4 linked regions of the Schizosaccharomyces pombe genome follow. The protein of the gene in region 1 binds, or shares a complex with, the protein of each later gene. Each region holds a gene or a part of one and is shown in the gene's direction. Other genes may lie near its edges. The genes, in order: mrpl25, mrpl10, mrpl17 and rml2.

Region 1 (7,570 bases):
GGCACCAACGAAACAATAAGATTATCTTCGGTCAAGCTGGATTTTTGCAGAAACAAGTATTCTGTAGGTTAGATAGGTTAGATATCACAAATTCAATAAATGTGGACTTACCATCTTTAGTAGATAGTTCGTTGTTAGAAACCGGAATAAAATAACCGGTATAATGTTTATTTATTTGAGTTGACATATCGCGCAAAGAATCAAGATTTTTAAACGAATTTAAGTTGTCGATAAAAATCGAATTAAGACTAGGTATAAAATTACCGGAATAGTTGGAACATTCAACCAAAACCGATTTGACAGCATTCAAACGATCAAGCTCAGCTTGTTCTAAATCTTTAAAAACCATAAACTGGAAAGGGTTAGCAAATGAAAGAAGAATAATGCTCAATACCAAATATAACTCTAATTCATGACGGCATTGCTCTAAATTGTCATAAGCAAGGTTGTACTTTTGTAAAACAGGATCATCATTAGTAGCTGTTATAGGATCATTTACTTGAAAATATGGATCGACCTCAAGAATACTCAAATGATAACTTTTCAATAGTTGCTGTGATTTTGTAGTAAATTGAGCATCTATCTCCGGATCATTTTCAAAAACTCGACGAATGCCAAGTAACCTTATTAAGCCATGTTGTATCAGCTGGTTTCCAGCTTTAACGACATAAGAATCTTTTTCCAAACCAAATGTTGTCTTGATGGCTTCAAATAGAAGAGAGCAGTTTGTAACAAGTTCGTAGTCACCGAGATGAGAATAAGATTTTCTTTTAACAGTAGACGCCTTCATAAGCTTTAATAATACATTGGCAAATTCCTCAGCGGTATATGGATGATCAACTATGTTTATCAACCCATCAAACTTATTAACGTTAGAAGGATTAATATCCAGCTGAGACAGAGCAGAAGCAAGAGAATCGGATTTATTAGATTTTCGAGAGGTAGGAATTGGCTTTCGGTCGGTCAAATTAGACTTCTTGCTGTTTACATGAGAGAAACGTGAATTGTAGTTGTTTATTTTGACAATTGCGGCTGAAACGATTTCATCTACCCTTCTAGAATATTTCTTTGACCAATTTGCAAAAGGATTTATTACCAATATATTTAATTGCTCCCCAAGCTTCTTGTGCAACGACGCTTCCTATTGTAAATATTAGCGATAATGACCATAAGAGTAACGATTGAAAGTATACCATTAAATAGCTTTCATAAAGCTGGTGTATGGCTGCATCAGAAGGAAGATCATTGCTTTCTTCATTTAAAGGATGGTGCTTATTGAATTTTGAAAACGATTTGAACAGCAAGTCAGAACAAGATGAAGCTGACTTTGCTCTAATATGTAACAACTGTAATACTAAACGTATTGTTAAATCATTAGTTATTACAAGAAGAAGAATTCATGTGCATACGCTTTTCGTTTTGTTCAACACCTTCGTTGATTAAACGTTGGGCACGATTTATTCCCGTAATATAATCCCTTGACCAGAACGAATTTGAAAAGCCGTCCCACATATCTTTTTGATAAAAATGTCTGATGTACAATACACTTAAGTATATCTATGTACTTCTGTTGAGTGCCAGCTAATTAATAGATTAAAGGTAGTTACAAAAGAGTTCTCTTTTAATCTAAAAACGTTAGTTTAAAAAATATTACAGATAAATCAGTAAATTGACATTGAGGATTAGAATTCTCCTACAACTCCAAATAATCCAAGAAGGACTGAAGGAAAAACTTCTTCAAAAAATCACTTACAAAGAAAGCGGTATTAAATATTATTCACAGTGATTAATATGTAATTTTGGTTTTGTAAAGAGTCATGTAGATGTTGGTATTTAAGTGGGTTCGTCGCGACGAGATGTAAACAAACCAAATTACATAGTGCAGTACAAAGCATCGTAAACTGTAATGAATGGCACAAATACTGAAGACAATAGTAAACAAATACTCATACAGACAATGTACACGTACGATTCGTCGGGAGAGACACTGAAAATAGCAATAGCATGGAAGATAATTTTAAAAAAACCGAAAGGAAAAAATATCAAAGACTACATAGAAGCATTGCGGAAAGGAATTGAGGATCAGGAACATTGCGAAAAATACGCGTCAACATTATTGGAACCGCGCCCAAAGACGAAAAAAGATGTTGTTTTGAAAAATAGTAATGTTACAGAGTGTGTGGCTTTAAAAGCCAAACCGTTCTCTAAAAAAATCGAGGATATGGGTAAGTACTTGCACGATGCTTATTAAATCCATCAATACTAGGCCGGTATATCTTCTTATATCTAAAGCATTAGTTATATTAAAGAAAGCCTTTTTGATCTAAAATAGTATGAATTTTCTTTCGTTAACAATCCAATCTAGATATCTTTTTGCTGACCAATGTTCACGAGAATCTTCAGGAAAAGAGGCAAACATCCGGAAGCCTTGCGCATCTGGATATTGAGTACACGTTTAATGGACTTTTTCGATTCTTAAAATGCACTGCTGACATAAAGTTGAAGCAAACAAAAGTATACGAGGGTGCGGATTTTTTGCGCATTAAAACTTTATTCGAAGAAATTTTTATGTTTCTTAAAAGAGATTGTAAGTCGCCGTTGGTTTTAACAAGACTAGTTGAATTGGGAGATTATGTACTGGATCTCATTATAATCACGCAGTCGATTATGCAAAACAATGCCAACAATGGAACTGGAGTGATTTCCAGAGCGAAATTTTTGGAATTTTACGTATTTTTGGAGCAACTGATATTTAACAAGCTCTCATTCGCTTCCGTAGAGCAATTGGAAAAATTACTAGATCAAATTGTTAAACGGATGAAAATATGCTTCACATATTGCAAAAACGATAACCCATCTATCCGGTTGTTATATAGTGAATGTTTTTTTTCGTACGCTGAGATATACTTCCCTTGTCTACACTCCTTCGATGCTCAGCTTTCATCTGCCGCAAGCAAATGTGTCCAAATCTTAAGAGACATAATCACAAATGAAGAATTACAAACTGATAAACAAGAGTTGTCTAAGAGTGCCTACTCTGCTCCATCCATCCTTTTGATTGGCCTCAAAGATATGCTATTTCCCGAAGACATTTCCTAATAGTAATATATTGAGGGCCACTATTTAACACACATTCATTTCTTGCCTTTCCAATTTGACTCCTTTTGTTATCCTAAAATATTCACAACATTTGGTGGAATTTTTCTGGAAATTCAATGTACAAAGAACGTTGTGGTGAAAGTGTTGATCATCATATCCATTCGATGAACTTTGATATTATGTTCCCTTTTAAATCTTGGGCATAAGGGAAAGGTTTTCTGCTTTTAAAAATTGATGGATAAAAGAAACAAAGGAACAAAAAAAGCGAATATATAGTGGCCAATTTGTATTATTTTCAAGTACAGAAGTGCTTTCCAAATTCGTTTACAAGAAACTTTGGAATTTCAATCAACAAGCTATGTTTCTTCTTTTCCAATAAAGCGCATTTAATACAACGCGTTGACAACAAGATTATTGATCAAGTAAAGGAAATTTATCGCACAAGCCTTCATTCATAATCCGCGATTTGATCTATACGCATTGCTATCCTATTCCTTACGAGGGATAAATCGAAGGAAGTGATAATGGATAAAACCACACAAGCTCCAGAGAATTGAAGGTTTTTCAGCTATAGACCTAACTAGAAGAACAGGGATACTTACAGGGCTTATTAATATTCAACATTAAAGAGCGTCTTATCGATTCCTTGTCAACTTGATATCACCAACAGTTCTATGCACTACTAACTTTATGTCACACTGCGTTACATGTCATTATAAATAATTCCTTTAGTATTTCTTATATTCTCCACTAATTGGAGTCATCGAGAGATGACCGGACTTTTCCTACAATAATTTTTACTTTTATTTATGTTTTAAAATACTCAAAATAAGCATGATTGAGCTTTTTTTGCTTACTCTCAACATGTGTCAGTAGGAATCCGTACATGATCTGATATGATAATTTTACTGGCATCAGAAACTCTATAACCACACACAGCTTACTTGAACGGGCCTCATTTGATGGAATCATAGAAGCAATCACAACTAAAAACGATAATGATTGAAAGCGTTTGAATGCTACGTTGGCGGAACACAATCACACATACTGTCAGCCTTCAATAATTAAATAACGCAACCCAACAAAGATGCCTAAGGTAGAGGGACTAATGCGAGAGGAAGCCATCTACGCAGTATGTAAAATATTTTAAGGAGTTTGTATAGTTGCTAATTTAACAACGATATACATAATAACGAAATATGTTAGTGATTTTTATATTTGTATAAAATAATACCCTGGATAATTTTGTATTTATTAACTATAGTACTGCTACACCGTAATATTATATTAATTAGTATATCCATTGGAACTAAATTGAGTAACTAAGAATTAGTCCGACCTAATAAACGCTAATAGTCAATAAATTGGCTTAGAATTGTCTGAGATAATAAACTCTTTTAATATTTCAAACGATGAAAAGTTTCGATTAAGAACTCAAGAATGAACAGTAATGATTGATTTAACGTAATATAGCGCAGTTAAACGTTTGCCGACATCTTAGGTCAATGTATTTTCTAATACTAATAGTGCTTGACTCACTGTCTTTTTGAGCTTCTCTATAGATTAAAGAGGTTTTAACCTTATCATGCCAGTCTTTACCAAGGAAGCTTTGGAACGGCTTCCTATCCAATTAGGAAACTTTTTTAAAAAGTTTCCGCCTGAAAATCCAAATGCATGGACGACAAATCCAAATCGTCAAAATCCGTTTCTCGCAACTCGAAATCCTCAGAATGGCCTTGTAATCAACCCTTACTATTCCAATAGAAGGCAAGCTGAAATATATAAAGAGGCCAGGCTTCAGAATCTGGATAATTTACTCCCCCAACAAATGTCATGGCAGAAAGATTCTACACGCCATATTTTGAAAGGTCTTCTGAATCCTAAAGGAAAAATTAGTGAACGAAAGAGGGATGAGATTTTGGAAAATAGGCGTTTAAAACTTTCGGAATCATTGAAGAAAACTTCTAAATTTAAAAATGAGCGCGTATGTAAACTGTTGTACTTTCATGATTTTCTTATTTCTATCTACTGATTTTGATTGTGAAAAATTTACTATTATTATTTTTTTAATTGTCTTTATTAACACTCTTTTTAGCAAAAAGCTAGCAAAATAGCGAAACCTTCTCCTTTCTAAATTCTTCTTCTGCAAAGTGGGTTTCACGTAATACTGTTAATACCTTTTGATTCCTGTTTGTTTATGACTTCCTTAAATTTTTTTAAAGATTCATTTAAATTTACTGCTATATTACCTCAATTATGTGTTTACTAAAAGTCTTTTATTGTGCAGCATGATAAAAAGACTAATATACTAGTCTATACATTTTTGTAATCTTTACTAATAATATGATTCTACTTTAATAGTTAAATTACATTTAAATATTAGGTTTTGAATCTGCAGACTTAGGATTTTAGAATGTGATTTATTCGTAACTTTTCATTATGAAGTATCTTGTTATCTTTAATTTTTAGGAAGAGCGCATTTAAATATAAAAAAAATATTTAGCACTTTCTCAAAACTCATTACTTGTGAATGAGTAAGTAAGTCATTATATGATTTATGTAACTTTCTAAGCTTATTAGTGCATTTCAAAGCCGACGGAAATTCGTCAAAGTGATTTTAAGATTTTGGGGCATTAAAAAAAAAGATGGACAGTCGAGTAATTTTTTTTTCATCGGAAATTGGGAAAATGCAACTTCAAACAGCATTTTCAACGTCTTCTTCTCCTTCTTCATCTTCTTCACCTTCAAACATTAATTCATTGAAAGACTTAATCAATGGACTAGGAGAATAATCTTGAGCATCTTCCTCGTCAATCCCCTCGAATTCTTGATATCCGAATTTCGTATTTTTGGGTGTTTTGGGCGACTTGGATGTGCTTTTATTAGTATCGTCTTCTTCTTCATCGCTAAGTTCAAGCAAAGGAGATCTCCAAAAATTCACATCAGTAAAGCTTGAGACTTCATCTCGGGTGCTAACCTCGATGGGAGGGAAGAAATGATCGACAAGCTCATTCATGTAAACATAACTACTTCGGTGACCGCTTCGCTGCAACAGTTCAATATGGACTTCGCCAGCAGAATTAATGGTAAAAATCCTAGTTGGTGGAACTCTGACATGGTTATAAGATATTGCGTCTGTAATACGATTGCCAAAGCCGGCGTAAAATGGTGTTCGAGGAACAGGTAAGGCGAAAATATTACAAAGATCACGCAAACAAGCCATTTTAAATACTTCTGGCTTCCTTAAAATTACTTCTCTATGAAGAGCAGCCATAGTGCGATCAGGTGATAAAATAACAGGACCATCGGGTAGAGAGTATCCGTTCTGTTCAATATTCCGGAGATAATGTCGAGTAGAATCGGCTTGGCCTACCGAACGACTAGTTAAATACATAATTTTGTAGCCGTTGTTAGTGATATCGGTATACAATTTGGCAACTCCAGCATGAGTCCAATCCTTGCCGATCAAGGTAAACATATGCCCTAGAGCATCAGATTTGGTAATTGTTCCATCAATGTCCGATATAACGACAGGATCGTTGTGTTTCCAAAAAAAAAGATTAGCAGTGCAAATGGCCTTACCCCCGTTGACTCCAAAGGAAAGCTCATTTTTACCGGGCTTCAAATTTAATGAACGAAGCTGATCAGAGGTTAAACGAAGGGTTTTAGCATATTGAGGATATGACTCGGAAACTGGGCTCAAAGACTGTTCAGATAAAGAGTGTCGACGGCTTAAATCAGAGTCCTCATCCATTAAAGCCGAATCGGACTTTGGAGACGCAGGAGTGCGAGATGGACTTGCAGGAGGACTGTGTCCATAGACCTCCGCAAACTTTTTGGCATCTTCAGAAGCGTGAAACCACAGATTACCTTCTTCATCTTCACGCAGAAGCTTTTCAATCATGGGAAATTCATCCTTGAATGTTTCCCGTGCCAACTCTGCAATGTTTATATTCGCAGCAGAAGATTTATAACCTGTCATGTCAAGCATCACATCACCATTATCCCCAACACGTGTAGGAAGTTCTTTCCCAGAAAGCCTTTTCCCCAATTCCTTTGCCTTTTGTAACAATCGTAAGTCTGCTAGCGTTGTTGCAGGCATCGACGGAGTTCTATCACTTCCAGCCATTTCCAAACAACTCGAATGTCGAAGGTGCTTAAAGCCGGTTGGAGGTGTTTGATCGGCATCGGATTTCGAACGGCGAATTAAATCTCGAGTAAGAGGGAACTCGTAACCGTCCTCCATCAAATAGGTATTCGATTGATCTTTCTCATGATCCTGAGATACTTTATCGAGCTCGAGATCTTGAGGCTCAGTGACATTCTAAAGCAAGACTGTTAGTAATTTTCGTGATTGAGATAAACTAAAAGCCGAAAGTAGTTGTGCAGAATTCTGATACCGTATTCATTAAAATATTGCACATAACTGTTTTCCACCGGACAAGTCAGCCCCAGTTTACTTTTGTACATA
Region 2 (8,038 bases), on another chromosome or scaffold:
ACTTTTACCCCTCTACACACTTTTTCATCTCTAATCGATCGGTCAATTGATTTGATCGGCTTTTTTTTTTTTTTTTTCATCTACCGGTTTTCACAAAGTGTCATCACTGTACACTTACTTGTTCATACTTAACTACATATCCTAACCTATCCTACCCTATTCTTTTATTTTCTCTCTTCTCTTCTCTTCAATTGAGAATTGTCACTTGCATTTTTACTTTTTTTCATCATGACAACTGTTCACCAATTGTCTGGACATGGTCCTTTGTCGCGTTTAAACATTTATTCTGGTGCCTCTCCTTACACTCAACGGGTGCGTCCGTCTTACGAACTCATCGAAGCTCCTACCAGACAAGCTACCAATGGCACTGGTTCTGTTTCTGGCTCCCCTAACTCTTCTAGCAATAGTACTCCCGCTAATCAAGGTTCTTTACCTTCCCATACCAACCCCCAACTATATTCTTCCATAACTAGAAAAGAGCGTCCCGAACTCTTCCGCTCTTACTCTGGCAATCCGCGTCTCAGTAAACCTTATGCCTCATCAAAACTTGCTGCCAGTTCTCGCACTGCCTCTTATCAAGCAATGTCTTATTCAGTTAGTCCTACCTCTACCAATTCTTCCGTAGCTACCTCTCTCAATTATCAATCGTCCAGAGAGACCGGAATTTCCAAAGACCACTGGAAACCAGATTCCGATGTCTCGGTCTGTTCTTTTCCCTCCTGCTCAGTTCGTTTCGGCCTTTTTGATAGAAGGCATCATTGTCGTCGATGTGGAGATATATTCTGCGCTCTTCATTGCGATCGTAACATTCCCCTCACTATGGATGTCAAGTTTTGTCTTGCTGGCTCTTTATACCGTTCTTGCGTCTCTTGCTTTTATGAATACCTGAAATGGAAACAGTCTATTGATTTGGCTTCTTCTAACGATATCACTGTAATCGAAAGCACTATTGCACCACAGCAAGCCACTACTCATCCTCCATCCCAACCCAAGAATGCTGTATCTGTACCAATCCCAAAAATGGACTCTACGGACTCTAAAGGTGAACTTCCTTCGGAGAGTTTGGTATTGGGAACAGTTCCAGATAACTGGGTTTGGAGTACCTTTTAATTTTTTTGTGTCAAATCTTTTCGCCATGGAGTTACTTAAAGTAATTTCACTATTGTTTTCCCCTTAGATATATGTTTTTCTTTTCCGCTTATGCTTTATGCTTTTCTTGTTTATCTTTAATAATTTTGGCCTTTCTCTTTTTTTTTTGTGCTGCGCATATATTTTGTTTATTGGCTCTTGTTTTCTTTTTATACCGGTATTTTTTTCCTTATTTTTTTAGGCTCCTTTCATTCTCAATTTAATGAGCCAGGCTACTTTCTTTAGTAGCTTTCTCTTTTGGCTATTTGCTTTCCGATTTTTCGGGTTCTCTCAACTATGCTTTACTTAAACCGAATTCATAAAGGTATTTACAATATGTGAGTAATGGTCGTCCAGGATTTTTTTGCTTTTAACAATTGAATACTACAAAATTTTTGCCGTGTTAAAATAGCACTAATTATCGTTTCCTGCTAGGTTTATGATTCCCTTTCATTTTTCTGTGTATTATCCCACATTTAATTGTTACAAATTCCCCCCTTTTAAGTTTTAATATCTTTCTCTTAGTCTCACTATGTCTTTCGACCCGCCGTTGCGTTTGTTTAAAACGGTAGTAATATAGTTAATAGGTTCGTTCTACAAAACATTATATTTAGCTCTTGTTTAGTAAATTGAATAGCCATCCTTAAAATTCGGAGTGAAAGTATTGATTCAACGTTATTTTATTATTTGTTTTATAACTTTGGCTAACAATAGTAGAAACTATAAAAGTATCAAATACCATTGTCAATGGATGCAAAAGTCTTATTACAATAATGACACTGTAGTTATAGAATTCTGAGAAGGGACATAATATTGGTATTCAGCATGCAAAATTTTTAAAGCCAATAAGTTCATAAATGCACTAATCCAAAAGTTCAGTAACCAAAGCTGTGCCTACAGTGCTTCCACCCTCACGAACTGTGAAGCGTTGTCCTTTTTCGATGACAATGGGGTGAATAAGCGTACAGATCATCTCGACATTGTCTCCAGGCATAACCATTTTGTCTGAGTCGTTAGGATCAGGGTGGGTAAGTTCGACAGTAACGTCGGAAGTACGACTGTACAGTTGGGGACGATACTTGTCAACGAAACCGGTACGACGACCTCCTTCCTCTTTTGTCAAAATATAGAATGATGCCTTGAATTTCTGATGAGGAGCAACGGTTCCTGGTTGAGCGACAATCATTCCACGTTTTAATTGCTCTCGCTTGATAGAACGAAGTAAAAGGCCACAATTGTCACCGGCAACGGCGGCATCAAGCTGCTTTTTGAACATTTCAATTCCAGTAACGGTAGTCTTTAAATGGCTACCATAACCGACGATTTCGATTTCAGCACCCTTCTTTAAAGTACCGCGCTCGACACGGCCAGTGACTACAGTTCCGCGACCTGAAATTGAAAAAACGTCCTCGATGGCCATCAAGAAAGGGACATCCGTTTTTCTTTCAGGAAGAGTAATATAACTATCAACAGCTTCCATCAATTTAGTAATACTATTGAGACCAATCTCAGGCTCACGACCCTCTAAGGCACATAAAGCACTGCCGCTAACAATTGGAGTATTGTCACCATCAAATCCGTATTCGGAGAGTAGCTCACGCATTTCCATTTCGACAAGCTCGATCATATCAGGCTCGACCATATCGACTTTATTGATGTATACAACAATTTGCTTTACACCGACTTGACGAGCCAGAAGCAAATGTTCACGAGTTTGAGGCATTTGACCATCGGTAGCAGAAACAACAATGATAGCGCCATCCATTGTAGCAGCACCAGTAATCATATTCTTAATGTAATCGGCGTGACCAGGACAATCCACATGGGCATAGTGACGATTAGCAGTTTCGTATTCAACATGGGCAGATGAAATGGTAATACCACGTGCCTTTTCCTCGGGGGCCTTGTCAATTTGACTATAATCCATAAAACTAGCTTGACCAAGATCAGAAAGGCATTTAGTAATAGCAGCCGTCAACGTCGTTTTACCGTGGTCAACATGACCAATAGTACCAATATTGACATGCGGCTTTTTTCTAACGAACACCTTAAAAAAGTTAACAAGTAATCAAAAAGATGAAGAATGAAAAAAAAATACCTTTTCGTCAGCATAAGTTCGAGCTGGGACGGTGAACCGGTTAATCAAACCTGAAGCGAAAGAAATGCGGTTCAATCGCAAGCAATTTTTTCTAAAGCCTTGAAAGAGGAGAGAGGTAGCTTTAGCTGAATTCATAACGAAGGGAGCGTGTAGGCAGAGGAGAGGTCTCTGGCGCTCGTGTTGTCCTTGAAATAAGTCTCAGCGGTGCGCATCGTTATGAGAATACTATTGACACGAGCATTTCATGAAATAAATGGTCCTGGGTGTTTGGATACAATCAATATTTGTAGAATTTATTTTATTTTGTTCTATTTTACCGCTACGCCTATATATGATGATACGCTTGTTAATAATAAAAAAATACTAGATGAACTAGTGAACAACACCGCCAAATCGAAAGCAATTGATAGTTTTTTTTTATTTGCACAATGAATGGTATTATGTCTCTGATCTCTAAAGGAATGTCAATCTGATTTTGCTAGATCGCAAGAGCAACCACCATGCAAGCAAAAATCGCTTACTATCCTGTCAAGTACAAAGAATAAAACCATTAATGAAAAGTCTCAATGACAAAGCTCAGCGTCTCGTGAATGTTGGTTAACTTCGAAGAGTCTTTTGCTTTTATTAAGTAAAAGGATGTAAGGAATAACAAGAAGTGGTGCGTGACTAAAGAAAGATAAAACTATCCATCCAACGGAATAAAGGAAAATCAAACTTTTCTGTAATATAGAATACTCAAATCAAAAGTCGTTACTATTGTACGAAGAAGCACCTCTAAAGCGAAAAATTTTAAACAAAAGAATGAGATAAAAATATGTAGATAGCTTTGTATAGTAATTTTATTCGTTCCTTTAATTACGAGGTGGAGCAATCAAAATAACCGAATCACCTAAAGTTCATTAGCATTTGGCGAAAAAGGAAAAACAGTTTCGAAAAGGAAAGCTTAATCATGGTCAAACTTTTCGAGCGTAATATTTAGAATCTACGTACCACGAACAAAGAGCATCTCATAATGTTTGCGAATCGTTTTTAAGGCCTTGTCCTTATCGGTCTCTTCATCATCAAAAATAGTTACAATTTCTTCAGCATCTCCTAGTACCATATTCTAAAATACGTGTAAGTAATCCATCCAAATGCGAGTTATGAATATGATTCATACCAAATGTTCATCATAGGCCTACAATCGAGTTAGTATAACCAATTCAGAATAAGAAAAATATTCAAGAAACGTTAAAAAAATTTCATACATGAAGACGGCCATTTAATTCTCTATCTCCCCGTAATTTTACATAAACGATTTCATCCAAAGAAAGCCTCACCAAATCAAGAGGTTCCGCGACCTACAAACATTAGTTACCGAGTTACTGTTGATAAATCTTACTGCCTGTGCCGATTCCATTATAAAGTAAAGGGTTATTATATCTACCAAGCAAGATCGCTGTTGCTGCAATTATGCACTGGCATATGTCAGGAAGAAATAAAGGAGGAAACAAATTCGAATTGCGCAGTGCAGCGATGCTGAATATAGTAATAAAGATATTTTTATGAGACGCTATAGAATTTTACGTATTCGTGTGTGTCCGAATCTTTTGTAATAGTAAACAGCAGCCTTGGACTTATTACCATCTAAACTCGACGAAACCCGTTTTTTGAATTGGAAAATGTTTAATATTTTATCTCGGGTTTGTCGCAGTTCTTCATTTCATGGTTTTTTGAGATCCTCTGGTTATCCAAGATTTGGTGCTAGTTTCCGCGGCATCAGTATGTTGAATGATTTAAACAACAGTGCAAATTATCAGTCAAAGAAGCGAGTGGGTAGAGGCCCTGCGAGCGGTTTAGGAAAAACCTCTGGACGTGGTCATAAAGGATCTGGTCAAAGGCGTGGACGGAGAATTAAACCTGGTTTTGAAGGTGGTCAAACTCCTATCACCAAATTATTTCCTAAAGTTGGTCACAGTACGGGACATTTGAAGAAACCGTTGCGTCTGGGGTTAGGGAGAGTTCAGGAATGGATTGATCGTGGTAGATTGGATGCTAGCAAGACAATTACTATGAAAGACCTCCTCGATAGTAGATGCTGTAGAGGTATTAAACATGGAGTTGAACTTACTGCTGACGAACCTGGACTCCTTAAAACAGCAATTTCCATAGAAGTTTCTAAGGCTACAGTTCAAGCTATACAACAAATCAAAAATGCAGGCGGCAGTATAACAACAGTATATTTCAGCCCGTTGGCGCTACGTGCCCATTTGCATCCTTCAAGTTTTCGTACACCTCCTCGCCCTCCCCTTCCAGTTTCAAAGAAAGACATACGCTACTACACAAATCCACATTTTGCAGGGTATCTTGCCAACGTTAAAAATATTCGAGAGCTATATTATGGCGACCAACGATTCCCCTACGAACCGATTGTTAAAGATAAATAAGTAGTTCCCATATTACATCAGAACTTGATATATGTTCATCAAAAATCCCGCTTTCCTAATATGTCCTTAAAACTTTGTTATGTCTATTGATGATTCCGTGCAGCCTCCTTTACTTTCTTGGATGGGTTACATGTTGAGTTTTGTAAGGAAATATCTGCATCCTTTTCTTAGTACATTTGTATAATTACGTTTCCAATTTCGGTGTTTGAGCTCTCTACTGACTTTTTCGCTTACAGTTCAATACCCATTAGTAATATTTTGAATACCTTTCTCATTCGAAAATATAGCTTCCTTCTTTATCCCCCAAATCCCCTTGTTGTAGTCAGTTCATTCTCTGTCAGATAAACCCTTTCTCACATTTATTCATTTGCTTCATTAGTAGATTTGAGCATTCGCAGTCATGCACTTTTTTTGTATAATCAAGAACCCCTGCCGACTGTTTGTTAAATTATTATCTTTTGCCTTTTTTTGTTTAAAGCTTTCTTAAAATTTTTTCATCCTCCGATTGTCTATCCAACAGGAAAAGATCTTTCAAAGGATCTCCTTTTCAAAGGCATGCAAGGAAGAAGAAAAAGAACATTTGTTGATCAATGGAACGGTTAAAGACTTATATATAAGAATGACTAAGAAAACCGGCATTTGTAATAGAAGTGTAAGCGAACCATAGTAGTACATTAACCTTATGATCAATTAATCTACATAAACGGTCAATTCTAAAAAAAATAATACATATTGACTGGGAAACTCCTTATTTCATATATTAGAAAGGGACATTTATCAACTCTCCAATTAGTGCACTAAAACGCAGTATGGAAGGAACGATGCTAAGAACTGCTTCAACACTTTGTCAATAAACCAACAATGTCGGCTCCGTCGCCGTTTATTAAGAAACTTGCAGCTAATGGTAAATTTCTTACATATAAATGATTAATGTACTAACACTGTAAGATCGAAAAACTCGTGATAAGGCTCTTGAATCGTTGCAGCGGTTTTTAAGCCAAAAGAAAAAATTTGAAAGGTTAGACTTTCTCAAGCTTTGGAAGGGCTTATTTTACTGTATGAATTTTTTTGGGTTATGAATGTAAATCATCTAATTGTTTTTTAATATGCAGGCATGTGGATGGCTGATAAACCCTTATACCAACAGAAACTCTCAGATAATTTAGCCGCGTTGGTTCCAATTGTCTGGATAGACAATAGAATATTATTTCAATCTACTTTTTGGGAAACTATGGGTCGTGAATGGACGGGAATTGATATTTTACGAACAGACAAATTTTACTTGTTAATGCGTAGATTTTGTGCTGCTGCGTTTCGGGATATTCAAACAAGAAGTAAAACTGCTTTGCTGGACAAAGTAGTGGCTGAATATAATCAGATGTGGATGGATGGTCCTTTTAAGTAAGTTGTTTTCGTTCCCGCGTGTGGGAATTTGTTTATTATATAGATTGCTTTTGCGTTGGAGACTTTTAGAAAAGTTTTGCAACGCTTTTACTTCCTGCTTACATCAAACTTGTTGAATAGCTATTTCTTAATTTTTATCATTTTTCTGTTTATTTGGACAGACTACTAACTGCTTTTAGTACCGAAAATCTTGCTTTTCCAAATGGGATTTTATTCCATTTAGCTGATATATGGACTGAGGAATTAAGAAAAGTCTACCCAGAAGATGTACCAAAAGCGGACTGGTATCTTCCTTTTGATTCTACAATCAAGTCAAGTCATAATGTTGTCTTAAGAAAGACGCTTCCCAAACGTCTTGATCGGGTTTCTGAATATACAAAGGATTCACAATAATTAATTGATTCGGCACGTTTATTAGGTTTTGGTGAACTAAAAAAATATATTGGTGGTAATATACAACTTGTGGTTTGTAATAGACATTAATTATTCATATGATTGAACTTTTCATTTCCGTACCCCTACAACAAAAGTTTCGTAGTAATGCTGTTTCTTTTCTTTCTTAAGAATATCCAGATCGTCTTCATGTAGAGTAGATATGTGCTTATATTTTTATAACTCTTAAGAGGTGAAAAGATATAAGTAATCGATATTTACATCAAGTTGTAAAAAAGTGTAAAAACATGGGCTGTTGTGGGAATCGAACCCACGACCACCATCACCCTAAGATGGTATCATACCACTAGACCAAACGGCCACTATTGATTTATGTTGTCAAAAAGGTTTATACAAGACAAATGAGAATCGTTATATTTGATTGTTGCTTGACTTGTGTTTTAAACATTCCTAATGAACATTCGTAATCAATTACCCGACGTGCTTAGCAATAAATATTGGCATATACATTGCTCCCATTCGAATGCATAGTTGTATAGTACATGTACAATCAGGCCGCACAAATACATTCAACAACTGTAAGGTTGAG
Region 3 (8,236 bases), on another chromosome or scaffold:
AAGGGACCCTGGTATCGTGCATACCCTGTGGAGGAGAAAACCCAAAGCGTTGCCAATGCTGGCGAGCCGTTTGAAGACGAAGGTTCCGAAACCTGTCGCTGTGTCATATGTGGCCGCTCTGATCATGCTGAGGTGCTTTTGTTGTGCGATGGGTGTGATGATGCATATCATACATATTGCTTAAACATGGATGCAGTACCTATAGAAGAGTTCTATTGCCCTAATTGTGTATTGTTAAACTATCAAGAAAATGAAACACTCTCTTCACGTATTTCTCTTTCTCGAAGAGGCCAGACAAGACGCAGAAGGGTAGGAGCAGCTGCTCGTGCCTCGCGAGTTTCTCAACAACAGCAGCGTGCATGGACACGTGCTTGGAATGCCATTAGAAATCGAGCTTGGGATGCATTGAATTCAGATCTCTCATATTATGGTATGCAACAAGAACGACTGCCTGCTCGTGACGTCTCGTCTGAACTTTTGCGACGTCGTATTGAGAGTGCACGTCTACGTTCCAACCAGCTCAATGAGCCAGTTGAGCAGCCACGAGTAGTGCAGACACCAGTAACGAATGCTTCTGAGCAGCAAGCATGGAATGATTTTGATGAAATTCTACATGCGAATTCATCGGTCCACTCCGTTGCCACTGAGGCTACCATTAGTAACCCACGACCTTCGTCGGGTCGATTTCAGCAAACGCCTATAGAAGAACATCATCAACAAGATACTCGATTTGTGAATGACCCAAATTCCACGAGTCACGACAGGAGGCAAAAGCGACCTACTCGTCGGCACATTCCTTGTTCTAATAAATCCTCAGGATCTTCTACAGTATTAGGCAATAATTCATCATCTAAATCAGAGAATTCTTTTCTCGCTAGTTTAATTAGCAACATCAACCAGCCAAGCACCTCACGAATAGATACTTCCTTTATGTTAAGTTTACAACATGAGATTAAGAATTCTCACTCTGAAGCTTCGGATGGAACTTCAGACGTTCACTTGACTCCTCTTTTCTCAAATCTCTCTCCTCGACCATCTCACGTACCGCTATCACCTAGGGAAATCAGTAATGATAATTTGGATGACCATTTGATTGAACTTTCGGAACCAGGAGAAATTGTGGATAATCATTTAGTTAATGATACGAGTATGCATCAACGACGCACTTCGGGCCGACATGATTTGGTGCATTCCAGCAAAAAAGTCTCTTATGAAACGAAGTATCGAATAGAACGGCTAGTTAACGCAGCTCTGAAGCCTTATTATCGAGAAGCAAAAATATCTAAAGATCAATTTGCTCTATTCAATAAGAATATCTGTCGATCTGTATACACTGCGTTATCGGATGGTACTCTGTCGCTTGAAGGACCTCAGCAACATAAAATAAGCAAGACAATACGGGAAAAGGTTGTTAACTGTATACAGTCTCTTTCAAATGACTGATTATGAGTTATGTATTTATGATAGGAGTTATGGTTTGGTGCATATGCTTTTAATATTATATCATATCTAATCTTTTGGAAATCAGAAAGTAACTTTTGAGGTCAATTACAATTTCCAAAAGAGTATTTATTTTGTTAATGAAGGATAGTGTTTCTTTAATGTTTGAACAATATATGTTTGCAAGATTAACACTCGTCAAGAATGGAGTCTTTAAGGATTTCGCTTTTAGAAAAGAGGAAACAATGTATAGATCTAGTGATTGTCTTATTCTATTTATTGAAGTATAACATTTTGCATTGCAAAGTGAGACCGTTAATATAGCATGCAACGTGTGCTCAATATAGGCGTTGGTAGTATATTTTGTTTTAATTCGAATTTGAAATGTCATGAAAAAGATTGATAAACTAAAAAGTCTGTAAATTTGAAACCGCAAAAAATTGTATATACTTGCTTAACGTCTTCTAGGGGGTCGAGGTCTCGAAAAACCAGTTTTGGTGGTGCTTGTTTCTGCTTGAGGACTTGATATCCCAGCAGCATGAAGAATTTCCTTTTCAGTTATATCAGCGGCATCATTCGATTCAATCTGTCATGTGAGCATAAAATCTACTACGAGGGATAAACATACCTTGCCATCAATAACAATACCCAATTCTGCTTTAATACTATCCAAAAGACCAAGTTTGGAAGAAGAATAAACCATTCGATGTTTGACAGTTGCTTGCATTGGACAAATGTATATAAACACTAGACCTTGTTAATAAAATGATCCTGCATCTGTACTTACAAATTTTTGAAGAGCCGTCTTTTGGCAGGGAATAGAAAGCGAAATTAGGTTCGGTGGAAGAAAAGAAGGATTTCACATCAGAAGGAGGTATATTTTGCTTTTCTTGACTTAAACTTATGACTTCTTTGTCAATAGACTTTTAAAGGAGGTTAGCAACACCATACATAGCAAAAGTATCATAGCTTCCTTACCAAAATAACAAGATTGTTTTCTGTAGATGATTTTAAATCAGAAAGAGCCTTTAAGGCTTTATCATCAATCGACATAGCAACACCACGGGTCACCAAAGGACGCTTATGAGTTACTGAGGATTGCATAGACTACATAGTTGTTAAAATAGATGCAAATAAAAGAGTAGAAGCTATAAATTCTACGAGCCACGGTAAAGAAGTATGAAAAATCCATCCACCCCAATACAGTTTACCTACCTCATTGTACTCTTTCCTTTCGAGTTCATCTTGTCGTAAAGGACTTTGGTCCTCTTGCTTGCTTAAGCTCTTCATAATTTGCTGATAATCTAACTCTTCCGGAGTACTTGCGAAATAAGACTCGTCGAGTTTAGCAAGAGTTACGCATCTTACAAATGCAGCACGACTAGAGGCATATAACATCTTCCTGCGAACATTCGCATTTTCAGGGACATAGGAAATTAATTGTAATAGATTTTTCTTGCTATCATCATAAACGAGGACAAATGCAGGTTCTTCAGATCCGAGCAAACATTCACGGACTTTCTTAAAATCAGATTCTATCGATTCTGATTTTTCAACCATTGTTTTCACGTCAAATGAATTCTCTAAATCATTTAGTAACTTCAACTAACTTAAAATTTACTCTTCTAGCCCGAATGGAAACTTACCATTAGAAATGCTAATAATGGCGGCGCGAACCGGTACCGAAGAGTACTCCTCGAGAAATTTACTGAACTTCTCTGTAGCTATCCACACGTTAGAAGAATTTAGCCAAATTTCTTACGTTTTAATTCGACGGAAGCAGACATTGTTATGGGGATTGAAAGGTTTACTGCGTCAGCAATTCCCCATTCTAAGTGAGTTAAATTGAATTATAACGAAATCCAAAGAAATCTATTAAAACATATTAACGATAGCAACAGAGTCTCTAAGAAATATTACAGTACTTAACGAAGCGTGTAATGTACGCTGGTAAAACAGGTGGTAGTGCTAGCCATAGCGAAACGTCGATTGCCTTTACCAAGTGGTCTTTACCGGATTAGTAAACAAAGCCGAAATTTGGAGATTTACTTGGCGTAAATTGACTAAGTTTAAACAATGTACTTGAAGAGAAATATTATAAATATGCAGAGGTCTTTTTCGCGTCAATTTCACATTTCTGTACGAAATTCCATTCAATCCTCTAAACCCTTGTCTAACTCGACTCCTCTAAAAGGTACAGAATTAAAAAATGAAAATGAATTATCTAGGGATATTAAATATAAATAAAAAAATTACCTTTGATGTACATGATTGCTAACATATCTTAGGTTGTTCAGTGGGTACAATTTTAATTAGATCGCCAATTCTTACTCGCCAACCATCCGAATTCGAAAAATCTATATATAAATATAATGCGGAACTTTGGAATGAGCTGAGTGATCCTTTACCTGCAGAATTTTATTTCAAGAAGGGATCGGTGGGTGAAAAAGATTGGCAAGAACGACAAAAAACACTAAAAGGTAAAGAATCACCCTTTGAGACGATATTTGGAAAGGAAAGGAAAGAGATGGAGTCTAACAAATTATTGGATTCTGCAACTCACTTGCAATCCAGAGTCACAGAAGCTGATACGAAAAACGATGAGCGAAGCACTCTTCGCTCGCTTGACAAGTCCCTTTACTTGTTGGTAAAAAAATCTAAAAGCTCGGGTTGGCAATTTCCTAACACTCCTGTTACAAGCTCCGAGAAGGCGCTGCATCTGGTAAGTACATTTTTTAAAATTCGATTCCAAGATACACAATATAGTGCAAGAGACTACTTACTATTGATTTGATGCTAAATAATTTATCAAATACTCTTGCAATTTTTGTTTACATAGTCTGCAGATTGGCCTTTCTAACAAACTGTAGTTATGTCAAGATCTTTTAAAAAATATATTAGACGAAAATTCGTTGACTTGGCTAGTTGCACGTCATCCATTAGCATTACTAAAAACGGAACAAGAAAAGGTAAGACTACGGATTTTTTGTTCTCATTTTATCTGGGTTGATTTTTTGTTTAACCAGTTATTTCTAGACCTTCTTGTTACGTGCTCGTTTATTAAATGGATTAGATGTACCTAACCTGCAAAACGTTTATGACTGGGTTTGGTGTACGTACGATGAACTGAAAAACAAACTTTCTCCTTCTTCATGGGATTCTGTAAAAAACATACTTTCCGATCGTTTGTAATCTTCAATTGAGCAAACAATATGTAAAATCTACGGAAAATAAACAGCGGAACATTTCATCTTGGAAATTCAATCTTTCTACAATCTTACTGCATTTTTCAGCTTAATTTTCACGTTTTCTATTTTTTTCTCTCCTTAATTTTTGATGTTTTGGTACGATGTAAAAAAAAACAAATAATTTTGGAATTTCACTAAGTATTTCTCCTTATTTATTCTATCTTTTTATTTGCAAATGATTCTGCCAGTATTTTATTTTCAGCCGCCTACTTTTGGAGTCCGGATTTCATGATTACTCACCCTCATGATCTGTGGATTCTTGGCAGTGTACGAGAAAACGGGAAAAGCGCGCACCTTAATAATAAACTATGTTTAGCTCAAGGGACCTAAAAAAATAGAATTGTTAATCAAAATTGATATCCGTAGTTTGTCCTCAATTCCAAGATCAAAAATTCTTTTGTCAGTCATAGTCTAGCCCTTAAAGACAATGTCTGTATAATTTAGTAATTATCAGAAATGATATGTGTCAGCATAATCCTTTGAAAGTTCATTAGAATGCAATTATAGACTTTGCTTTCTGGAAGCATTAAACCGTACATACACTTGACTTACAGATTTAGTCCCACTACAAAGGAATTGACAAAGGGCAACTTTGTAGAATTCTGTTTATAAACTCGGTTCTTATCAATAAAATGTTAACAGAACAACAGACTTTGGAGTTATTTCCAGAAAATTGGGAAAGAAATGAGCAAGTTTTGTTGAAATACCCGGATGGGTTACCCAAAGATGTACTCGCTGATCAAAGAGTTGATAATACAGAATCACAGGTAAAGGATGAAATAACTTCTAACATTACGAATCAAACTCAAATTTTACTACCTGCTGATTCCTTTCCTCAGTATGGGTCATATCCTAACAATTCAGAACTCGATTATGTTGTATGCACAAAATGCGACCGACCCTTCCTATCAGAGTATATTGAGGACCATCATAGCTCATGCAATGGAATTAAACCTCCTAAGCCTCAATTTGAGCCTGTTGCGAATTCTCAGGTTTTAAACAAAGATGTCAACAATGGCAATAATGCACCCATCAAAAATGGTGTTAAATCGACAGCTAAGGGCTCAGCTGGGAATCATGAAAAGAATTCAGTTAATGGTCAAAAGAATCCTGAAATGCCTCCAAAACGTCGGAAGACAGAAGAAAACAAAAAGCCTACAAAATCCGCCCTTCCCAAGAAAGAGGCTAGCAAGAAGAAGAATCCAAAGGTCAAAGGTATGTTGGTTTATGCTGTTCAATATGGAGAATGGAGTACCTGTTTACTTTAATACTAACATTCAATTAAGGTCCTGTGGATGTTGAAAAGCAATGCGGTGTTTTGCTTCCTAATGGGCAAATGTGCGCCAGATCTCTCACATGTAAAACGCATTCAATGTCAAGCAAACGAGCCGTTCCGGGAAGATCTCAGCCATACGATGTTTTGCTTGCAGCTTGTCAAAAGAAAAACCAAGTAAAAATACAACGACAAATCCTCGAAACTGCAAAAGAATCCGAAGATAATCAGCATCAAGCGCCTGTTGATTCTGATGAAGAAGTCAGTTTCATTATGAATGTTCTCCAGAAATCTGGCAATCAGCCTTTGGAGCAAAAAGTTTTTTTACCCGTAAAACGTCGCCATTCGTATTTTCGTACTAGAGAGTTAATAGCTGCTGCATTTCGACATGGTGAGCAGGGTATGCAAGTTACTGGTACTATATTGGGACGAGTGATTCCTTTTAGTGCCCGCCAACCACTATAAAGAAATTCTTTTGATTTTGCTTCGGTTGATGATTTAAATTCTTTATGAGATTATAGTTTACATTTTGGTCTACTTGACCACGCATTTTCGACTTTTTAATTTTCTCCTCCGTTCATCTAGTTTCTATTTCATTAATTTTTTCATTTTTTATTTTGTATATTGCACCATACGGTCTTAACATTTGGAATAATCAAGTAGAAGTTAATAAACTATAAAAATACCAATAGAACCCAAAACCAATAATCAATTCTAAAAAAAAGAAAGAAACAAGTATTCTCCAAAAATATATGTACACGTTTGTAGTCTAATTTTTTAAAAGAAACAGCAAAGTTTATGGTATCAGTTTGTTGCAAATCCTCAGTCTCACAATCAATCCTTTAGCCCTCTAAATCATCCTTGTTTTCAGCCGAATCTTCTTCTTCATCGCTAGAAAGAACATCAGGCAATTTTGAGGAAACCTCTTGCGTCTTTTCAGTAATGCCTATATCTGATAAATAACTGAAATCTTCTTCATTATAACTGTCAATAAAAGACAAAAAACAATGAAATCTAAACCGGTTAGTTAATTTAAGAAAAAAATATACTTACACTTGTTTACGAGCTTCTTCGAGAAAAATTTTATCATAAATATGAGCATGCTTAAAAGCAGTAATTTTTTGCTCGTACTTTGTAAAGTCGATAGGATCACGATTATTCTCTGGAGCTTTATGTTCATTATAACCTTTAAAAAACGGTGACTCTAATAAAAGTCCAAAACCAGGTCCCTTGGGTATGTTAATTTTTGTTTTTTTAAAGGCATCTTGTATGCGCTCAACAGGACAACCCGTTCGTACAACTAAAATAGCAAGCGCAATCATCTTTCTAATTTGGTGCAACATAAAAGATTGACCATGAACTTTACATGAAATCCATTCTGTATCGCCAATCATGAATGGATCAGATGCCTAGAATGTTAGAAACAAGACTTGTCAAGAATACTATAAATACAAAGAAGATAATTCTTACTTACAGTAAAAGAACGGATCACGCGATTACTATTCTTCTGATGAAATGCTTGCCCCACAGTAAAATTGTGAAAGTTATGAACTCCAACATATTGGTTTAAAGTTTCTCGAATAACGGACAGCCTATCTGCGGAAATACGGTAATTTTTTAATTTAAGTACTTCAATGTGCTTAAGTGCACGTTCGAGACGATAACTGGGATCAATCTTGGAACCAGCAGATTCGTCTTCAACAGAGTCAGGCTTTAAAAACTCGTTTACAATAGCAGAGGAATCGGAATCCATATCTGGATTAGTTTTAGCGGAAACTCCTGCTTCAGAGCCCTTATTATTTTCCGAATTAGCAAGAGCAGCAGCTCCCCTTTTAGAATATGGATTTACGAAGCCTTCAGGATCCTGTTCATAAAGGCTCAAAATCTCTTTGGCTGCAATATCATAATCATCCCAAAATTCCTTTCCTTCTTCATAAAATAATGAACGACTGAGTTGATTTATATTTTCCTTGTTAATTGGCTCAGCAGGCATGGGAGAATTCTTCATAATGCAATTTCCAAGTATGGACGAAGGTTTCGGTGGAACAAAAGCATACGTTGGAACCATATATTCATATATACGAGATTCGCAATAAGTCCTTGGGTTAAAAGAATTAATAGTACGGATCACATCCCATAAGCGAATGGAAGGAGGGAGGTGTTCGTTCACTTTTTCAATTAACTTCTCATCTTCCATTATAAGTTTGAGACTGATAACATTTCCAGCGGCATGAACTCCTTTATCAGTTCTTGCGGCTCTTGCTAAAGCAACTTT
Region 4 (8,186 bases), on another chromosome or scaffold:
ATGACATTCACCAAGCATTTTCCAAGCCGCAATGACATTATTATCAATACGAACAATCTCTTCAGCTAATTTTTGGGCTTCGTCGAAGTTTCCTTCTTGCGCAAACAAATGATTCGCTAAACTCAACATTTGTTGCACTTCCACCGAGGGAAGCATATCAGCTCGACTAACACGTCCTCGACCTTTATGACCTTTACGGACTTTTCTAAATCCAGCAACTGCCTTTAAATTTTCTTCCCATTCCTCGTTCGCAATGTCGTCCTCGGTTCTTGAGGCTGTTTTACTAAAGTTTGATTCATCGTCACTGCCTTCATAATCTGACTCTTCGTCTGACCAAAGGCCCTCAGCTTGAAGGGCAGAGGTATCTCCCAAAAATTTTGCATCAACTTCAGATACATTCCTAGCCTCATCGACAATTTCGCTTATATACCCGTTTAGATCTTGCATTTCAGCATCAAAGTTGTCAGTTGTATCATTTTGCGTTTCATTCATATTGGAATCCACATAGCTATTTCCACCATTTTGAATCATCCTTTAAGATGCTCAATCATGCTTTCAAATCGGTCTGTTCCTTTTGCCTACTTGAAGTTGGCTGTTTTCGCGTTGGCGTTGGTGAAGGCAAAGTTGAAGTAAGTCATTATAGAAGTACTCAATAAACAAAGAGGTCATGGGTACCACATATCTTGTTCTACAATTGACTAATTAATATGAAGTCAATAAATATTAGTCCTTTTTTCCTGACACCAGTTATTTTACTTGCAACATTTTTGAATTGCAAACTTGACAATTTTGATGTTGTCAAAATACCTAATATCTGTAAGAATTTGGAAGATCCTAGTCAATCAAATAGTGTTTTTCACTTTTTTTTTTGGAAAATGGCATCTCAAGGCTTTTCATGTTGATTGACCTTTGTCAGTGTACACAGAGTATAGTATCGAAACCTTTCATAAGCAAACTAATAAGCTATATTAAACAAACGCAGATCAACCCCATCTTCGAATTGTTTTGAAACGAAAATGAACGAGTTAACAAAACAAATTTCCATAGTTGAAACTTTTCGTTGAAACTGTATATTAAATAAGATTTTTTTGGTATGTGAACTTATTTAGTAATTAATTAAGCACACATCCAAAAAGGAATGTGAGAAGAGTTTTGTGAGAAAGCAATGTTTTCCTGATACCTTGAATCCCTTAAACTCTTCATGCTCAGCAGGCTTATTACAGGTGTCGTAAATTCTAGTTTAACTTTGCTCAACTCGAAGGAAAAGCAAATTCAATTTATCAAAATTTCCAATATATTATAACGTGGTTGAAATTCTCAGTTGACCTGCCATTACTTTCAAACGTATAGAATCGGGTTTACAATGTATAAAATATTTACTACACAGATGATCAAACAATAAAACAAAGTTCTTCATTATTATAGCTAATGTGTTCAATTTCCTCTATGTTGTATTCCCTAGATCAATGTTCATTTATTTACACAGTTAACGACACCTTGGATTGTGTAAAGATTTTAGCACTGAGCGTCGCAAATTATGATTGAACTCGTTAATTCGCAGTCCATCATATTGTGAGTTCTTACCATAGGTTTAGTTGGAAATCCCCATGTTGAGTTATAATCGATTTCGGGGGTATTTGATTCCTCAAATTCATGCGTTAAAGCTGTTCAGATATGCCTCTACCGCATCTACAAGCGGTGAAAAAATTGAATCTTCCGAGAGACCCTACGATGTAGGGATGCTTCTACGACCAAAAACGAAGTTCGAGGTATGTAATATTAACACGAGGGTTACTTTTTATTTATCAAGCCTTAATTCATTTTTTACTAATTCTTATCAAGATTAAAACTTACAAACCTATATCTCCTGGTCTTCGTCATTTAAAAAGACCAGTTAGTGATTACCTTTGGAAAGGGAAACCTTTTCGACCTTTGACCGTTGCAAAAAGAAAAAAAGGTGGAAGAAATGAAACAGGAAGAATTACTGTAAGGCATCAGGGTGGTGGACACAAACAACGTATTCGTCTTGTTGACTTTGAAAGAAAAGTACCGGGTGTTCATCGAGTGATTAGAATTGAGTATGACCCTGGTAGAAGTGGTCACATTGCCCTTGTTGAAAAATTGAATTCCGAAACAGCCAACAAAAGTTATATTTTGGCTTGTGACGGGCTTCGCGAAGGCGATACAGTTGAGAGCTTTCGATCGCTTTTGAAGACTGGTTCTAATGGCGAGCCAGTAGAAATGGACCCCGTCCTAGCTGCTGAAATTGAAGATGGAACTTTTGCAGCAAAAAATTTGAAGCCAGGAAATTGTTTTCCTCTCAGATTAATTCCTATAGGAACTGTCATTCATGCCATTGGTGTAAATCCAAATCAAAAGGCAAAGCTATGTCGTTCTGCTGGCAGTAGCGCTCGTATCATAGCTTTTGATGGTAAATATGCTATCGTTCGTCTACAAAGTGGTGAAGAGAGAAAGATTTTGGATACATCATTTGCTACCATTGGTGTTGTAAGCAATATTTATTGGCAACATCGCCAGCTTGGTAAAGCCGGTCGTTCACGTTGGCTTGGCATTCGTCCTACGGTTCGAGGTACAGCTATGAATCCATGTGACCATCCACATGGTGGTGGTGGTGGTAAAAGCATTGGTAATAAACCTTCTCAATCTCCTTGGGGTGTTTTGGCTAAAGGTGGATACAAAACAAGAAGAGGTAAAAATGTTAATAAATTACTCGTCCGCGATCGTCCTCGTGGAAAGGAAAAGCGGTAATCATTTTATTAATGATCTCTGTCTTCATGACTTTTACATTTCTATGTTTTACATTACCGTAATGCATTTCAATTTTCATGATCCCTTCTCCATTTTAATAGTCGATGCTATTACCTATCCATTTGTGGACCAGATGCATTTATGTATAGTTATTTTGTGTCGACCGTCATTTATCGACGAAAAATTTTAAGCATTTTTTAAGAGTTTAGCTCTTACAATTTAAATCTGTATTGGTAATTTTTGTTCATCACAACGTTGCTTAAAGCTAAGGACTATCCCATTCAAAATTGTCGTTTGCTTACATCTACCTTAAAAGGGTTATCGATATCATTCAGGTACCAAAAGAGTATTCTATTAAACGCAGAAAAGAACGGTTTTATTTTAATATGGCCAACTAAATAAAAAAATTTTATTTATAAAATTGTAGCTAATTTAGCATATTAATTTTTTCTTGCCTTCGTCCAGCGAAAAGCGACTTAAAAGCGGATAAACTGGGTATTTAATATTTCTCTACAACACAATTAACGCTTGGAAACCCTGGAACGACGGTCTCTCCTTGATTTGCGTGGCTTGCGTCGAACTTGGAATATTCTTTCCATCAGTGTAAGGTCAGACACTTTAGGACCTAGTCGTTCATCTAATGGCGAACCCCTTTCATCTTGATTTCTACTGTGCGAAAGTGTTAGTAATTTGAATATAAAATTGAGTAAAAGGAGATTCTCAAAAGTAGAGGAAATGATTTTTGAAAAGTATGAGTGCACCCGGACTAATTTGGTTTTCACAAGTTATACCTTTTAGATTTGCTCTTCTGAGCCTTTTCTTCTCGAGGATCACCGTGAAACAGATAATATCTCGAGTAAAGATGTGCGCTTTTAACCTTCTTGTCTCCGTAGCGGGCGTAACGTATTTTGAATTGACACGTCGGTACAGTTGGGTGTGGTTTCGTTTGATATTCCAATTCCTCTGAAAATTCTGTCGGAGACTCCATAATTAAATGAAATAAAGCATTTCGTGAAACATCATCATCCGCATAAACAACGTTGCCTATACGCGGTTATAGAGTTAGACTAACCCTTTGCCAGTTTTCGCTTCTTACATTCGTTATCATTAATCCATTCAATTGTACATTGAGATTCAGGAGCATAAGCTGAAATAAATCCTTTGACTTGTTCTTCTGAAAGATTATCGACGCCAGCTAGATGTAAAGCTGTTTTACGCAATGTAGTATCAGCCACCACTTCCGTTTCTAATGGAGTACTAGTGGCGTCGGGTATCAATGATTCTTCTTCAATCTGAGTCTCTGCAACGATATCCATTTAAATCTACTTCTCTACAACTGCTTCGCAGACATGCAGTTTCCAAAAGAGTGAATGTGCCGTCCAAAGAAAATTACGACGCGCTATAATTTGCTATACGAGAATAACGAGAGATGAAAGATCCCTATAGGCAATGTAATCGGTACAGTCTCCTATAATGAGTGAAGATCGGAAGTCAAATGTAATTTGTATTTAAAATTAAGAAGGAAAATGGAGATTAAATCGGCTTTTTGCATGTAAGGCTCGTTTGTGTAAGAATCTACAGTACGCTAAAGCACATTGAATTGCGTATTGTTATTTACAGAAATTTATGGGATATTACAGTAAAACCTAATAAGATTTACCTCTGGGACACCGTATGTTCGAGAATGAGACATGTAAACATAGCTTCCGCACATTTGCAATTTTCAGTACGAAACATTAATTCTTGCGCTTTTCAAAGATATATGAGCTTTGTTTAATTAGTTTTAGCTGATTGCTTAATCAAATAAAAGATTGTCTATCTTAACACCATTCGTTTTCTAATCCCGGCATTTGTCTGTGAAATTTTTAAAAATTAATTGGAATTACTCTACAAGCAACTTATTCAAAGAAGGAATAAATAGATAATAATCATTACTAGACAGAAGACTAATCGCATGGAACGTTTAGCTACTCGATCGAGCCATGATGATCCATATTCGAGGTCTTCCCTTCCAACTTCGAATGCCATTAATAGCAACCATGAGTCAAATGGTTCTACTTTTTCTTACGTACAGAGTTTACGCCGTGCAAAGGCGACTGTCTGGAGTGATATAGGCCGTGTGGCTCCTTTACACTCTAGCCCATCAATCAAAAGTTCATCACAAAATGGGAAGTCTTCCAGCAAAGGCTTAGGAGGCATGCGCTCAAGGGTATTTTCTAGCCAGCATCATGGTGTTTATCACACCCGTCCTGCTTCGCTTCATTCACGTACAATGGCTCCTCAGCACACCATTCTTACTCCACGATTATCTGCTACCGAAGGTAAGGATGACGATGAGGACGAATTGGTAATTTCGACATCGAATACTGCACCAACATATATCTCAATGATTGAGTCTTCACGTGCCAGCTCAACCCATAGTGGGACTGCACCTTCCATTATGGGAATGTCAATACATTCAAGAGCAGACTCCAGAGCCGAAACTACTCAATCAGACGGCTTTGAATCTCGTAGCGGATCACCTACTCATGATATTCAATCTTATCTTGTCAATCGACGAAGCAGCAGTTCTGAATCTTCAGACGAGGACAGTGCTGAAGAAGGAATGAAACGTCTAGTAATCACAAATATGGGGGACAATGATGAATTCGATAGCGATTAGTGCAGTTATTTTTCCATCGATATCTGATAAAGTATTATTATTTATTATGGTGCTATTCCCTCACCTAGTTTAATTGCTTTAATTCGTTTACTTTTATTCGCATTCTTTGGCATAATCAAGCATTCCTTCCCCTTTCTGTTCTATTACGTATTTCTTTCATTTAAAACCCGGCATTGTCAGCTAGTCTCACATCTTTAATCAAAACATGAAATAAACTATATCAATATTATCATCATTCTATTTTTATTCATTTGAAAGCTATTCGGTGCTTCCTGTTTTAATGTAACATGAATATCAATAACATTTTAATTATAGAACCTATAATGGTTTAGGTAGTGTGGAAAATTGGGTAAATATTTTAAAGTCCGAGATTCATAGATTAAATTGTTCAAAAACAAATATTTTATGCCCAACGAAGACTATTCTAGCAGACCAAGAAGCAATGAGGTATCGTTTTCCTTCATTATCTTTTCAGCCATTAAACTGCCAACGTTCTTCTCAAGAAGACCACTAGCATTTGGCGGAAGAGTTCGTTGATTTGGTAATTGATCATCCCGCAGTAATAGCAAAGCGTCGTACAAAGCATCCATACATTTATTGGCCTCGTAAATCTCCTCTTCATTTCCTTTTTCCAAGGTTTTCCGAACTAGGACTTCGTAAACTTTGATATTGGGAACGACGAGGACTCTAATAGCTTCTTTCCCCATAGTTTTTAAGCCTTTGATGGCACCATAATGAGTGGAATATGGCTTGGTGTTATCCAAAAATGCTTTGAGTGCCGTGCGAGTAACGCGAGGCTTTAATGTATAATACACATTACCAAATCGATCACAAACAATCCCGAGTAAAAAAGCAGCTAAGTCTCTTAGTGCATAATGCTCGTGATTATTAGGATCACTGCCAAGGCGCTTCGCGACCAAACAAGTAAGGATGGATGGCATGAGTTGTTGGACGTAAGGCTCTACAAAAAGGTTGGGGTTATCAAGAAGGGCCCAGGCCATGTGCATTAAAGTAGTAAGAACCACAAGATTTCCTAAGTTTCGAGTTACAGAATCCGATAAAAACATTATGAAGTATGGTAAAAGTTGGTGTAATCCGGGGTCGTCACGTAAACTCGATAGGGCAGCATCACGGAGCTCAACATTAGTTTCATCAAGCAATGCACTGGTAATACGCTCAAAATAAAGCTGTAACTCTTTGGATAGCACATGTCGCACCAACGGTTTTATCTCAACGTTGTCCATCGAAGTGACACCGTTTCGAGCTTCTTTAGCAGCAGTTGAAGCACCTGGCATAACCCCTGAAGTACCCTTGGATGCCCATTCTCCAACTGTGTGATCTGAGGGAGTTGGATTTTGAGGAATGGCTGGCTGCACACCTTCGATGGCCAGCCAGTGTGCACTGTAAGAAATGTTTCTAGGGACTTTAGGGAGAGGAGCGTTTATGATTTTTTCAAAATCCACTTCCTCATCATCAAGGTAGTAAAGGGAATTTTGGCCTGCACCTACAGCGGCTTCATGAAATTCTAATGGACGAGAATTATTGAAGCCGTATAACGGCTCAACATTCAACGTCCGTAACGCTGAAGAGATATCTGCGCTAGTTAAAACAGTTCTTTTAGAATGAACCATAAACTTAGTGGCTTCCTAAATCAAATACTGTTAGAGAATTATGTTTAATGTCAGAATAAAGCAGACTATCTAGCAAATTGAAAGGCATCGTAAAAAACTAGCAACAATTTTTTAGTTATTTTAGCCTCTTCCAAAGAAAGTAAAATCTCATAGTCTACTTTCACGAAACCTACCTGAACCACCTGATGAATTCTATATTCGAGATCCATTGCAATAGCTGCTGCTGGTTCATCGGCAAGATTGCCAATCCCAAGCATTTCAGCAACATCTTTGATGGATTCAATATTCCATACTGTCAAGGACATGACTTGGTAGTAAGATGAACGATTTATGGATCAATGAGTGAATTGCATCTGCAGAGAAGTAGTTAACGATGTTAGAAGCAACTGCTTTATTTAACATACTTGTCAGCAATACTACACTACGCTATAATACACTACGTTGCGTATCACTATATGTCACATGTTCTAATTATATATCGTACCATGTATGATACGATATGGAGATTGATCTTAATGATAATCTATTAAGATCTATATTATCTGAATACTATAAATAGAGCTACTGCTGAACCTCGTTCCTCAGTTCAGTTATGAGCTATATTAGTGATAGGTAACATTATAACCCAGTTAATACAATACCTATACTCAGTTGCTACTTATACAACCTGTGTATTGTAATATAATAGATCACAAGGAAAACTCACCGCAGTTCTACGTATCCTTAAATCAGATACCAAACTGCGTAGCTTACAAGACAGTGAGCTACACTAAAATCGCTATTAAACATTACGTTACGCATCAAAATACACTACATGGAATACCAATTAATCTCAATTTGTTGAACAATAGCAGAAGACTATATGTTTGTTTACTAAAACATCCATTGATATTGATATAAAATAGTAGTTAAAATTAGAAGTCTAGATTGAACAGAGCATCATTCTCAGTCCAGTTATTAGCTGTTACAATGATAAATATATTATCACCCACCACTCACAATACTGTATAACGCAATATACTGCTTCTACAAGCTAAATATAATTTAATGTAGCCTTAAAAGGAATTAGAAACTTGAATTGTTGACACTTATCTAGTTGCACCGCAAGTCACCCCGCATTGCTA

What was found.
Region 2: mrpl25 (region 1) and mrpl10 share a complex: the UniProt entries of both Schizosaccharomyces pombe proteins name them as parts of the mitochondrial large ribosomal subunit.
Region 3: mrpl25 (region 1) and mrpl17 share a complex: the UniProt entries of both Schizosaccharomyces pombe proteins name them as parts of the mitochondrial large ribosomal subunit.
Region 4: mrpl25 (region 1) and rml2 share a complex: the UniProt entries of both Schizosaccharomyces pombe proteins name them as parts of the mitochondrial large ribosomal subunit.

The regions. Positions count from the first base shown.
Region 1 is NC_003424.3:4,991,559-4,999,128, reverse strand, and holds mrpl25 (mitochondrial 54S ribosomal protein mL59), read left to right. Parts: upstream 1-4,621; 5' UTR 4,622-4,684; coding exon 4,685-5,083; intron 5,084-5,194; coding exon 5,195-5,233; 3' UTR 5,234-5,505; downstream 5,506-7,570. Other genes in the region: rga9 (RhoGAP family GTPase-activator protein), read right to left, coding at 1-61, 112-352, 395-1,141, 1,194-1,354, 1,410-1,512; meiotic recombination protein Rec24, read left to right, coding at 1,958-2,225, 2,366-3,099; lipin, phosphatidate phosphatase Ned1, read right to left, coding at 5,795-7,423. UniProt on the Schizosaccharomyces pombe protein: Component of the mitochondrial ribosome (mitoribosome), a dedicated translation machinery responsible for the synthesis of mitochondrial genome-encoded proteins, including at least some of the essential transmembrane subunits of the mitochondrial respiratory chain.
Region 2 is NC_003423.3:1,818,049-1,826,086, forward strand, and holds mrpl10 (mitochondrial 54S ribosomal protein uL15m), read left to right. Parts: upstream 1-4,854; 5' UTR 4,855-4,887; coding exon 4,888-5,652; 3' UTR 5,653-5,909; downstream 5,910-8,038. Other genes in the region: zf-FYVE type zinc finger protein and glutamine sensor Pib2, read left to right, coding at 229-1,110; translation elongation factor EF-Tu Tuf1, read right to left, coding at 1,991-3,175, 3,227-3,361; U6 snRNP-associated protein Lsm3, read right to left, coding at 4,078-4,115, 4,217-4,331, 4,386-4,403, 4,474-4,566, 4,608-4,625; Nop52 family nucleolar protein, read left to right, coding at 6,514-6,556, 6,601-6,708, 6,765-7,053, 7,236-7,449. UniProt on the Schizosaccharomyces pombe protein: Component of the mitochondrial ribosome (mitoribosome), a dedicated translation machinery responsible for the synthesis of mitochondrial genome-encoded proteins, including at least some of the essential transmembrane subunits of the mitochondrial respiratory chain.
Region 3 is NC_003421.2:2,120,941-2,129,176, reverse strand, and holds mrpl17 (mitochondrial 54S ribosomal protein mL46), read left to right. Parts: upstream 1-3,431; 5' UTR 3,432-3,516; coding exon 3,517-3,634; exon of another isoform or gene 3,635-3,728; coding exon 3,729-4,162; intron 4,163-4,310; coding exon 4,311-4,409; intron 4,410-4,476; coding exon 4,477-4,632; 3' UTR 4,633-5,044; downstream 5,045-8,236. Other genes in the region: ubiquitin-protein ligase E3 Asr1, read left to right, coding at 1-1,443; twf1 (twinfilin), read right to left, coding at 1,895-2,026, 2,069-2,187, 2,228-2,363, 2,419-2,547, 2,656-3,023, 3,087-3,164, 3,203-3,227; SAGA complex deubiquitinating submodule subunit Sgf73, read left to right, coding at 5,321-5,903, 5,975-6,426; pus1 (tRNA/U2 snRNA pseudouridine synthase Lsp1), read right to left, coding at 6,804-6,975, 7,015-7,370, 7,436-8,236. UniProt on the Schizosaccharomyces pombe protein: Component of the mitochondrial ribosome (mitoribosome), a dedicated translation machinery responsible for the synthesis of mitochondrial genome-encoded proteins, including at least some of the essential transmembrane subunits of the mitochondrial respiratory chain.
Region 4 is NC_003421.2:694,315-702,500, forward strand, and holds rml2 (mitochondrial 54S ribosomal protein uL2m), read left to right. Parts: upstream 1-1,597; 5' UTR 1,598-1,607; coding exon 1,608-1,769; exon of another isoform or gene 1,770-1,793; intron 1,794-1,842; coding exon 1,843-2,769; 3' UTR 2,770-3,168; downstream 3,169-8,186. Other genes in the region: transcription factor TFIIIC subunit Sfc4, read right to left, coding at 1-531; RNA cap binding protein cbc3, read right to left, coding at 3,291-3,438, 3,561-3,813, 3,866-4,085; protein mug123, read left to right, coding at 4,724-5,431; TATA-binding protein-associated factor TAF6, read right to left, coding at 5,851-7,077, 7,236-7,367. UniProt on the Schizosaccharomyces pombe protein: Component of the mitochondrial ribosome (mitoribosome), a dedicated translation machinery responsible for the synthesis of mitochondrial genome-encoded proteins, including at least some of the essential transmembrane subunits of the mitochondrial respiratory chain.